Linked DNA regions of Arabidopsis thaliana. The protein of the gene in region 1 interacts with the protein of each later gene in a pairwise test. Each region holds a gene or a part of one and is shown on either strand. Other genes may lie near its edges.

The links. Proteins that work in one complex are often made in the same cells at the same time.
Region 2: the proteins of HAT3 (region 1) and PHV interact in binary tests that used the Arabidopsis thaliana proteins (3 or more experiments, as listed by UniProt).

The regions. Positions count from the first base shown.
Region 1 is NC_003074.8:22,320,073-22,324,267, forward strand, and holds HAT3 (homeobox-leucine zipper protein 3), read right to left. Parts: upstream 2,590-4,195; 5' UTR 2,299-2,589; coding exon 2,100-2,298; intron 1,942-2,099; coding exon 1,583-1,941; intron 1,499-1,582; coding exon 1,419-1,498; intron 1,026-1,418; coding exon 716-1,025; 3' UTR 508-715; downstream 1-507. UniProt on the Arabidopsis thaliana protein: Probable transcription factor.
Region 2 is NC_003070.9:10,795,607-10,803,099, forward strand, and holds PHV (Homeobox-leucine zipper family protein / lipid-binding START domain-containing protein), read right to left. Parts: upstream 5,488-7,493; 5' UTR 5,139-5,487; coding exon 4,918-5,138; intron 4,407-4,917; coding exon 4,247-4,406; intron 4,117-4,246; coding exon 4,001-4,116; intron 3,920-4,000; coding exon 3,829-3,919; intron 3,734-3,828; coding exon 3,638-3,733; intron 3,552-3,637; coding exon 3,438-3,551; intron 3,362-3,437; coding exon 3,278-3,361; intron 3,200-3,277; coding exon 3,044-3,199; intron 2,958-3,043; coding exon 2,883-2,957; intron 2,809-2,882; coding exon 2,702-2,808; intron 2,630-2,701; coding exon 2,440-2,629; intron 2,348-2,439; coding exon 2,159-2,347; intron 2,076-2,158; coding exon 1,995-2,075; intron 1,909-1,994; coding exon 1,768-1,908; intron 1,680-1,767; coding exon 1,390-1,679; intron 1,292-1,389; coding exon 1,174-1,291; intron 1,091-1,173; coding exon 941-1,090; intron 869-940; coding exon 722-868; 3' UTR 518-721; downstream 1-517. UniProt on the Arabidopsis thaliana protein: Probable transcription factor involved in the determination of adaxial-abaxial polarity in ovule primordium. Specifies adaxial leaf fates. Binds to the DNA sequence 5'-GTAAT[GC]ATTAC-3'.

The DNA of each region.
Region 1 (4,195 bases):
ATCTTGGTCGTACCTCTCATTTTCTCTTTCTCTGTCGGTTGAGATCTTTTGACATAAGGGAAGAAAAAAATATCGTATCTTCAGTGTTCTGCAAGAGATTCTAATGGTCTGACTTCGTCTATGTGGACCCAAATATCTCCATATACATACCAAATGCTATGTTATGTCACGTACATGTCTCGATATTCGTATTGGCTAACATTTACTTATTACATATGCAAACAACACACGCTTGCTCCATCAATCATAACACCTTTCATTGCTTCTTTTTACTTTATACTTCTAACTAATCTTCTACTGTAATTAATAATCATCTTTACAAATCCCTTTCTTAAGTTCCAAGCAAAAGAAAGAAAACCCCAATTAAACAATTACAACTTTAATAAATGACGCTCTTGAAAATTAGTTTATGCACCATTCGTTATTATGATTCGATGGCCTTAAAATAGAACTCTGGATTTGGTGAAAAACAGATATGATGTAATCAAAATATATAACAATAAAGAATGATAGAACCTCTTATCTTTCCCCAAACTAATAATTGGACAATAATATTAGTAGATTTTCCATTATCCAGAATTCAGCTATAAATAGAAACTGAATAAAACAAAGGAAAGAAGAGCATGGGACCAACTCTTGAAAAGAACTTCCAAGTCCGTTCAACAATATAATAAAAACAAATCACCAAACCTATTATCTTTAGACTAATTAAACTCTAATGAGAACCAGCAGCAGGTCGTTGCCGTAGAGGCATGGCAGCCCACGGACTCATCGGACCCATCGGAGACGATGAATTCATCACAGGAGGAGCCACCGATGACGAAGATGACGTAACAGCGACTCGCTCGCAAGAAGGACACATTGTGAGAGTAGTGGGAGGTTTCATGTGCATGTATAAGTGTGGAGAAAGCTTTAAAGCCCTAAGCTCACTCACTTCCTTTTGCAATCTCCGATTCTCATCCGTTAGATTCTCGCAACATCTCTTAAGATATTCACAGTCTACTTCCGTTTGCTTCAGCTTCGTCCTATAAACACACACACAAACAGTCCAAAACATTAAAATCCGATATCCGGTTTAACTATCCGGGAAAGAGAAAACCCGAAGTACATTTGTTTCTTGTATTCGAAACTGGCGGTTATTGTTCTTGAACCGGAAAACTGAAAACACTTTAACCAAAATTTGACTCAAAAACAACATTGGCGGTTTTAATTCTTAAACCGGGAAAACTGAATAGCTTAAACCAAACCTCCTAATTTAAGACATGAGAGACCCATTAAAATCCTTTAGGATAATCTTATGGGTCATAAAATGGACCATTACACATATCACCATCATAGCAATAACTACTAATGTTTTATTTGTTGGACTATATAAAATTTACGAAAGTAACCCCTTAAAATAGAATAAAAATTTCTACCTTGCCCTTCGGTTTTGGAACCACACTTCAACTTGTCTCGTCCTCAGATTCAATTGCTTAGCCAAAGCCATCTTTTGCTTCTGCATCCAACAACAACAAAAAAAGTCAATGAAAAACATATAAAAAGTCAACCTATTGAAGAAAACTACGGAAATGCCACTGACCGGATTGAGTGTACTATGTTCTTTAAAAGTTTCTTCAAGAACCAAAGCTTGTTCTTTAGACAATCGGAGTTTCTTCCTCGAACTGTCATCTCCGTTCCCGCTACCGTCTTCATCGTCGCTACCACCGCCGAGCGAGCAAGAAGCTCTCTCAATCTCATTATCTTCTACTCTACCTCCTCCAACTGCACCTGCCGCAGCCATTAGCTCTCGCTCGCTCTTCTTCCCGCTCATCACGCTTGAGACGGTGCTGTTCGGAGACGAAACTCCGGCGCCTTCATCCTCCACGTCAACCACCACCGTCGATGGAGCTCTGTTCACGTCTATTCCCCGGAGAAACGATCTCATGTCCGAGTTTCTCTCTGCACGTTACGTTAATCACGCCAAATGATTAAAAATCACAAACATATCAAGAAAATTTTATCTATTATAGGATAAAGTGTAATAAAAAGATCGGATCTAAAACAAAGAAACCTATAATCTTAGACATGAATCTGGATTAGTAAAAGGAGGTAAATACCTGATGACTGAAACATGTTAATCCAAGTGTTCTGAATCTTTTGAGGATGGTTATAATTGCTCTGCTGCATATGCTGCATGTGTGATGAAGATGCATAAGAAGCCAGAGGCATTGGATTTAACCTCGAAGACGGGTCCTTTTGATTAAAACCTAAACTCAAGCTCAAACTTAGCCCCAATCCATCATCTCTTTCACTCATTTTTCTCAACCCCAGAAAGAAGAAAGAAGAATTCTGTCTGGGTGCTCAAGATTTTTAAGCGAGGAAATGAATAAATGACTCTTTCTCTCTCTCTTTCTTAAAGATGTTGTGCCACTGCCTCTACACTTGTGCAGCAGTACAGTTTCAAAAGATATGGCTTATATTTATTTATATATGCAAAAGAGTTTTTTCAGACAAAGAGATATGGGGTTGTGGGGAGGCTTAGGGTTTCAATGATGACTTGTGTCAGAGAGACCTCTGTTACCTCAATGATGATATATACTGCATAAAAACCTGCTTCCTTCTCTCTTTATTTTAACTTAACCATGGTTAAAATTAAAACCAGGAGTTATTACTTTCACCTCACATCCCTTTTCAACCATGGTTAATTGATTTATTATAAGAAAAAAAAAAGTCCAAGTCTCTTGTTCTTTCTCTATCATTTTCCGTTTGGTATATTGTAAGTTGTCACTATTCTTAATTACAAAATAACCTATGAGCGTTTTTCAAATATTATATTAGATTCTTATACATATGATAAACTCATTCACCCAAATCCATTCATGTGAGGTTTTACTAAATATAGATAAAAGCTGAGTTTCTACTTTAAAAGATACTAAAGATTAGTAGTTGACAATATAATTGAGTAGAGATTTTGTGTACCCGAGTTTCAAAGTAAAGAAAATGTAAAAGAAGCTCTTTTTCAAAAACACACAAACAAGCATAATTGGCTTTTTGTAATGTGGCTTTCATTACGAAAGCGGCTTTCTCGCTCGTTGACCGTTGACTGATTGAGAGGATTAAAAAAGCAGCGACCAGACGGTAAAATCCACGCGCTCGTGAGGGTGATCAAATAATGATATCATATCATAATAATTAATAAATCATCATCATCATCAGTATCATTATGAACATCATCATCATATCATGCCTTATTGTTATCATCATAACTTTACTTCTCCCTCTGACCATTGGGGTCCTACGTATCTCAAAAATAATGCAGCTTCGCTTTAATATTAGTACTCTTAAAGCATAATTTGTAGTACTGTATATCAAACCATATAATTGTACTTCCCATTTTAACATGGAATTATATCCTTAAAACAAATCTCACCCACTCTCCAAATTCACCATCACTTGTTAACTTGTTGGTTAGAAAAGGTTCTTTAAGTTAGCTTTATGGTGAATATGTTTCATCATTGGCATTCGATTATGACAACTATTTTTTTTTTTTTGAGAAAAGATCAGCTAAATTATGTTTTTCTTAGTAGTTTTAAACCATTCTATAACCTTTATTGGGTAAAATTATATAACCTAGTTACAAACCAAACTTTCTTAAAGAATGAAATGAATTATTATTCTTCAATGGGTTATTGTTAAAATGTGATTATGAGGATGTTGGAATAATAGGTAAGCGTGAAAGAATAGATACGCGCGAATGGGCGAGTGTGAGGTGGGGGGAGAATAAGGCGGTGGGCTCAAAATGGGTATGGAATCAGGAGGGGGCAGAGATACGGTGTCGTATAGATAGGTTACAGAGAACCTAAAAGCCCTAAACACTGCATGGATTTTGAGTTGTCTGCGAATCCAACATGCATTCCCATTCCATGCCTCCCTCCTTCATTTATTGTTCCTTTTTCCCAATGTGATACCAAAAGATAATTAACTTTCTCATTAATTTCATCTGTCAGTCAAACATAAATAAAAACGCACGACAAGTGGTGTTGGCTGATTTTTATGACTAATAAGAGAGTAATTAAATTACTATTTAATTAATGATGACTCCATATATGTTATTGATATTGCCATCATTACTTCTGCCTTCAGTCTCTTCAAAACTTTCAGCAGTTACACAGACAAGACAGGTCAGCTCTATTTATTTAATTTCCTGCTCGTG
Region 2 (7,493 bases), on another chromosome or scaffold:
CGGTATAAAACTTCCATAAGAGTTTTGTAGGTTTCTGTCCAAAAGAAAAGCTATTTATCAACTTCCATTACTAACTAGACTACCCAAAAGAAAAGTTTATAGGTTCCTCCAGCCTAGAAGTCAAAGAACAGCATCATCATGACTAGTTTTCTTGTGATAGATACTATTTCAATTTAATAGATAAATACTAGTAATGATTATTGATCATTTAATGTCAAAGATTCATTCAAATCTAATCTTTTGGATGATTATTATTTATGCATACAACCTAAACTCCGCATACATTTTTCATGTTACATATGAGCTACCAAGTCCATTAAACGTTTTTTGCCAAAAACTATGATGATTAATTTAGTTTATTCGACATGCTTTTGAGGCCAATCTTTGTGTTTATATTTGTACATTAACACATGATAAAAACTTATAAGATTACTAATAATAATTCATCTTATATCTATCTATATATATATATATATATATATATATATATATATATATATATCAAATTTCGTAAAAGGAAGATGAAGAAAAACGAAACAAGTCCAAAACATAAATAAAAATAAATATCTTGCCATACATAATGTCATAATTGATTAAAGAGATTATCATCAGAATTTTTCCATATTACATATAGAGTTATGGACTCTCTAATTCAACAAACCTTAGCCAAAAACAACATCCCCTAACTTTTAATATCTAACATAACCAACCTTTTCCTTCATCAAACAAACGACCAACTAACGAGGGTAAAAGCCAAGCAGTGGTTTGATTCGTTGTCATCAACAACTTTCCACACCGTCGCTTGCTCATACGAAACCGGTCTGCCCATGCTCGACACACATATTCCTGCCGGAAGATTCGCATATCCCTGAAGAAGATTCAATCCAAACTTAGTATTTTCCAGGGAAAGACTTAAAAGACTAGCTAGAAAATGTTTAACCTGCTGCATGATCTTGGCGAACTCGGAGCAAAGAGCTCTACGACCAGAGTCATCAAGTGTTTTGTCGAGCATTATATCCTGAAGTGCCACAAGTGTAGTTTCAAGCATGTCTAAACCAGCTTGGTTTGCAAATGTGAATACCGGTGAGGCCTGAGAACCAAAAAATAATCAGACAATTCCCAAACCGAACCATAAACTAGATTGAGCACCTCTTAAAAAAACAGAATTCTTACATTAGTTTTCAGGGAGCAGCACAATATGGCATCACTATGGTCCCAGAGTTGCTTAAGCAATGTGTCTCCTCCACAGGACTGAGAATCAGCTCCAAACAGATCTGCACCTGTATGAATACTAAAACATCGGAGAAAAACATTTTATTGAGTTATTAAATGAGATAAGCACATTCTATATTGTTACAAGTCTTTAGATTAAGGTTCTAAGAAGAGTACCTGTAACTACGGGTGATCCAACGGACAAGAGTGAGAGCTTCAGGGGAAGTGGGAAGTTGCATTGAGCCAGGACGAGGCGTAATGGCTAGAGCCACTCTCTGAATCGAACCAACAACGTTCCTCACATACTGTCTCGCCATTGTAGCAACATTGTCTCTGGAATGGTTATCAAACGTGAACTGGAAGGCTATTGTTAAGACCAATCTAGAGTTTGTTTCCGAATCGGTTTTGGTGGAACCATCTAGGGACGATGCTAGATCCCGTGTTCGACTTGCAGATTGATGATCATTCTGTAACGTTACATACAGGAATAAAAGAAAAAGGACTGTGTCAATTTCAAGATATCAAATTTCTTATCATAAACAGTTTTCTTTTTACCGGATTTGTTTTTTGGTCGAGTGGTATGACACGGAAACCAGAAGGAAGCAAAGGTGCATCATCAGCAAATGATTCATCGATTGGGGCAAAGACAAGCTGAGCACAACCTCCAACCACATTTTCATCAACGCCGCTACAAAGCTGGACAAAAGCAAAAAAGAAACCAAGAATTCAATTTCAATAACTCATCTTTAAGAATCCCTGAGTGTCTTTAGTATAAAGCAAACCTGCAGTAAATACATATCCCGGGATAAGCCCATGTCTTCAGGTGAGTAAGCATGACCTCCAAGTCTAACCACTTCGAGAAACTGAGAAACAAGTAAGCAAAATAGGATTATAGGCATGGCAAAAGAATAGACAACAAGGAAAATGTTCTTGAGATTCTTTGTACCTCTTCATGTTCGAGTGTCTGTGCGAGAGGAAGAATGACTTGGTTACTCGGGAACCCACCGGTTCTGACGCATGGAACAGCATATGGAGTTGCTCTGAGAGATGCAGCAGAATAGGCATCGACACCATAGTCTGCCCATTCAGCTCGGTGTTCTCTCAGGAACCGAATCAATACAAGGGGTGGAACATTCTTCAAGAGCAGATAAAAAAGAGAATGATGTCAGAAATTGAAGAAACCGGTTCTTTTGTCTATTCACAAGTGTCAAAACATGATATAGGCACCTGCAACAGCATAGAAGCTTTGGCACAGAGGACACCACTTCCAAAACTTGGAAGAAATGAGCTACCGTATTGGGAGCCAGCAAATTTAGCAGAGGAAGAGTTAATCATGATCGTAATATCCTCTCCTCCATCACTACTCATTGGAGACCATCCATCATCGACAAAACCATTTACAGCATCATTGAAACCCCTGAATTTCAAGAAAAGCAATTAGAACAATGCTTTAGAAAATAAAACTAAGCTTATCAAGGAAATGTATTACCGGCAGAGTCTCTGGCTGAAAGTCCTTAAAACTGCAGGCTGGCGTCCACCACTATACTGGACTTCTCCACTAGTCTCTTGAGCAATTTGGCGCACATGTCTCAGAGCCTGAAATGTGGAAGTAAAACTCATAAAGAGAGCCTAATCAGGTCACGGGTGGATAAGGTTTATATGGAACTTACAGCGACAGTCATTTTTTGAGCAAGGATTTTGGAAGACTCATAAAGAGGCCTGAGGACTTCAGGAACACTTGAGACCTACCAAACCAAAAAAACGTATCAATCAACATAAATAGAAGGCTTTTACGAAACCTAATGTGCTATTACAAATCCAATATGCTTACATCCAAGTCCACATGATCAACGATGTGAATAATGGAACCACCACCATCACAAGGACGGATAAGAAACCCGCTTGACAGCATTTTGGCTCTCACGAAGCTTGAAGAAAGTGGACCATTGGGGCCACCAGTTGCAGAAGTGAGTGATCTCTCACAGACCTGAAGGCAAAAAAGCAAATATAAGGCAAATCTAATAAATAGAATCATAGATGAACAAAACCAGGTCCTAATACCCACCACATAGCTTCCATCTTCTAGACTTGTACTATATCTCAGCGTCCAAAAGTCACGAGCTGCTGCTAATGTTGTAGGAGCATAAATCTGATAACCAACCATGAATAATGATCATTACATTTTAAAGGAACAAAAACAACACTCATGGATTTATGAAACAGACCTGAGTGTTGACAAGCTCGATAGTACCACCATTTCCAGTGGGTATAACATTCAGAGTCTCGACACATCGACAGTCACGGAACCAAGATGGACGATCTTTGAGGATTTCAGCGACCTACACAGTATTTGAAGTTTAGATTGCCTTCGTAGAATTTCCGCTTCTTACAACACAAGATTAAAATAAAAAGAAAACACCATTACCTTCATGGGTTCTAAACTCACGAGGCCACAGGCACGTGCTGCTATTCCACTGCAGTTGCGTGAAACAGCTACGATACCAATAGAATCCGGACCAGGCTACATACATAACCATGAAAATACATATTAAAACATTTTCTAAAAACCACTTCATTTCCACATATGAAAACGTTAAAATACTTCAACTTATCTACCTTCATCCCAATCATCTGGACCCAGTCGACAGCAGTTCCTGTAGCCTTGCAAAGGAACTCCGCCAAGGTCTCCTCCGCAATCGAGAGAAGACTACCAAAAAAACACTCCATTTAGTCTCTTCTCATAATGTCACAATGAGAAATTCACAAACAAAAAAAGAGCCTTCCTTACTTAGCTGGGTTGTTAACATCACGCTGAGGATGCTGATGTGTTGGGTTTTGCTGCTGACGTTGCTGACCACTCACGACCACAGACTCACAGCTGTTGTCTGTGGTCGTCCCAGAAGCCTAAGACACAACACAGAGATTTCACCAGTCACTCTCTAACAACAGAGAACTCTTAAAGAACAAATACATATACAAGCATCAAAGATAACAACTCAACAATGCATTTAGCAAAAGGGATTCAAGGACTTACAGTGTGGATTCGATGTTTCATGAATCCATTCTCATAAACCAAGTTGGAGACTTGCTTCTGCAAACGATCATTCTCTTCCATCAAAAGCTTGTTCATAGCACTCAGCTTCCTGTTCACTGTCTGAAGACGAGCTGACTCTTTCCTCTGCTTCTCTCGACATCTAAAAAGTCAACAAAACAACCAAAAGAAACCAGAAAAGTTAAAGACAAACCTATAGCAGTATGATAAATGTGTTGAAATAATAGAAAAATGAACAGAAGAAACACACACTTTTTTGCTTTAGAATGATACCAGAATGACATAAAGAACAAAAGATAATGTAATTTCCAACATATTCTCTGCAGAAGGAAAAAAAGAGAGAGGCGTTTTAAAGCTCATCAAAGACAGTTTGATTAGCTGTCACTTTTCCTTGTGATTTTAACTTTCAACTGTGTCAACAAAAGCCTAATAAGCAAAAAGAGAAAAACAAATTTATAGACATAGATCTGAAAGTTTCAAAAGCTTAACAATCACCAATTAGACCAAAAACAAGAAGATTACCAAAAACATTGTCAGACAAGAACATTTTTGTCTCCAAATACAAACAAAAGAAATTCAATTTTATAATTACAGAAACAATCAAAGAACACAAAAAACATTCCATTAAAGACAATTAATAAAGAAATAATAACCTGCGATTCTGGAACCAAACTTTGATCTGTCGAGGCTCGATGTTACAGAGAATGGGACATTCACGAATAAGCTGTTGTCTTCTCAGAGAGCTAGGTTTAGGACACTCAGCATAAACTCTCTCAAGAGCTTCAACTTGTTCCGGCGTGTATCTAACGTACTTGCCGGAATCAAATCCTTTATCAGGAGAGTCTCTATCGTCCATGGAGTGATGAGCCATCATATCTTCCAAACAGGTCAGTAGAAATCAGAGAGAGAGAGAGGGTTTACAAAAAGAAGAATAAAGATCGATACTTTGAGAGAAGTAAAAGAGACTCAGATGAAGAAATATTAGATGGGTAGGCTCTCTGAGAAGAGAGAGCCTCCTGTGAGAGTGTTCATGAGATGGTAATGGTTGGAGAAAAGAGTTTTTTGGGTTTTTTTCATTTGCTCTCTCTCTCAAAGGAGATTGAAAGATGGAAAGAGGTAAAAGGAGCAAAAGCGAGGCAGCTAAGTAGAGAGAAGAGAGAGAAGAGAGAGAAGAGAGAGGAAAATACTGAAAAAGTAAAAGTAAAGATCTTTCTGAGAGAGAAAGGACAAGGAACAACCCAACAAGATGCACTAAACTGGTAAATATTGTTTTCAAAAAAAATTAAAGGTGAAATTTTTGGGAGAGTAGGTTGAATTCAATGTTTTTGGTTAAAAGCTTTTTACTGTTAAGGCAAAGTAAAAATATTTAAACTTTTTCTTATACAAAGCTAAGCTTGAATTTTAATTCAAAGCTTAAATTCTAAAAGTTAAAATGATTAACTAGGATAAAAGTTTATGTCTTTGATAACTCATTATCAAAGCGGTAGAGTTTGTACAACTTTGACAGTTATCATTTATAAAATCTTTATCAAAAACGTTATAAAAAGTTTTATTCTCAATTTTATTATACAACTTTCTCGTACAACTCTTTTTTATAGTTTGCAACTATTCCGAAAAATTTTACAATTCATCTAAATTACCAGTTGGACCCATATATATTCTTTGGTTGCCACCATATAAATATTATTAGTTAAATAGATAATTATAATATTGATTGAATTAGATTAACAATTCATTTTAAAAGTTTCGTAATATTTGATGCATAGTTATAAGTAAATAATTACTTGTTTTATTATTTTTTCTTACAACTCTTTTAAATAGGTTTAATATGAGATGGAATCTTGATTACACTTCTCTAATTCATATCATTACCACCTAATTTTCTTTGTGTAAACATGTTTCTGTATTCAATATTCTTGGATTAGATTAAAAGGACAAGTAGATGTTGACAATTAAAAAGGATTGAAAGTGATTAGTTTTGAAAAACTTAAATGCATTCAGATTTCAGACTAAGGCTAAACACAAACAGATGAGAAAACCAACACGCAAAGTTGTTGTCTCTGCAAATTTTAAGACATATCAATTATTATCAGAATCCCTAGTCCTAATGGCAATCGATAAGAATAAATATGTTTATCTATTGGTAACAAAAATAAATCATGCTACAACTATTTATATTCGTAAAACGTAAGTGTTGTTGTCAGAAGAAACGGAATTTTGACAAAATGGGGTAATTTGCTAACTTAGGGAAAGAAAGCACTTCTCTTTAAGCTCTGTGACAGTGGCCTACCCAAACATAGCATCAAATTTTCCCTACCCTCTTTGCTCTCTAGTCCTAAGACGTTGTATGTATGTATGTATGTGCATGTACATATTTTCATGATGATGGTGTTGTTGTATGCCTATCTTTTGTATCCATGTGGAAGAGACGATGCATGACAAGTATGTACAATGTCACTATGCGCGTGAGATGCGTGAAATCTGTTGTTTTTTTTGGTTAACCTTAATTGGTTTTATTTCCTTTAACTTGTTTTGAAAGTTTTGAATATAAATTAGGGAATTTAATGAAAAAAACCCTTAACTTTGGCCAGATCCATTTTAAACCCTAAACTATGTTTTTAGTAAAACAAACCCTGAACTAAAACCTGTTAATAAACTTAACTCCACAGTAATTAATTATTAATGGGATATTAATTTCTAAAAAAAAAAACAACGAGACATTTGTATTTAGCGCAAAAACCACATGATGTTCTTTAAAACTATTTTGAATTTATTACAAAAAAACGTTCTAAATGATTTTGAATTGCTTAATTAGTTTGGATTTTAGAAGCTGAAAGAAAGACACAACAACTTAAAATAATCCAAAGAGTCATACTTAAATAAATCCAACCAACATAACTATCGAAGCTGTTGCAACACAACAATATTTGTCACAAAAAAAACAATCGTTTCAGAGGGACAAGATATTCTAAAGTAAAGACTTGTCAAGCATTAACTTTGAAGAGAAGATTGTATTGGCTGAGTGATAGGGTTCTCTTCATCCATTGTTTTCTGTTTTTTCCTTGGTCGTCTTTGAGGTTTCTTGGGTGGTTTTGGCACTGCTTTACGCTTGCATGAACGTTTGTTGTGTCCGACTTGTTGATAGTTGCTACAAGTCTAAATATGCAAAGATTAAATTAAATAATTTGAAAAGGAAGATCTTGTGAAACATAATTCATTGTTTTCTATT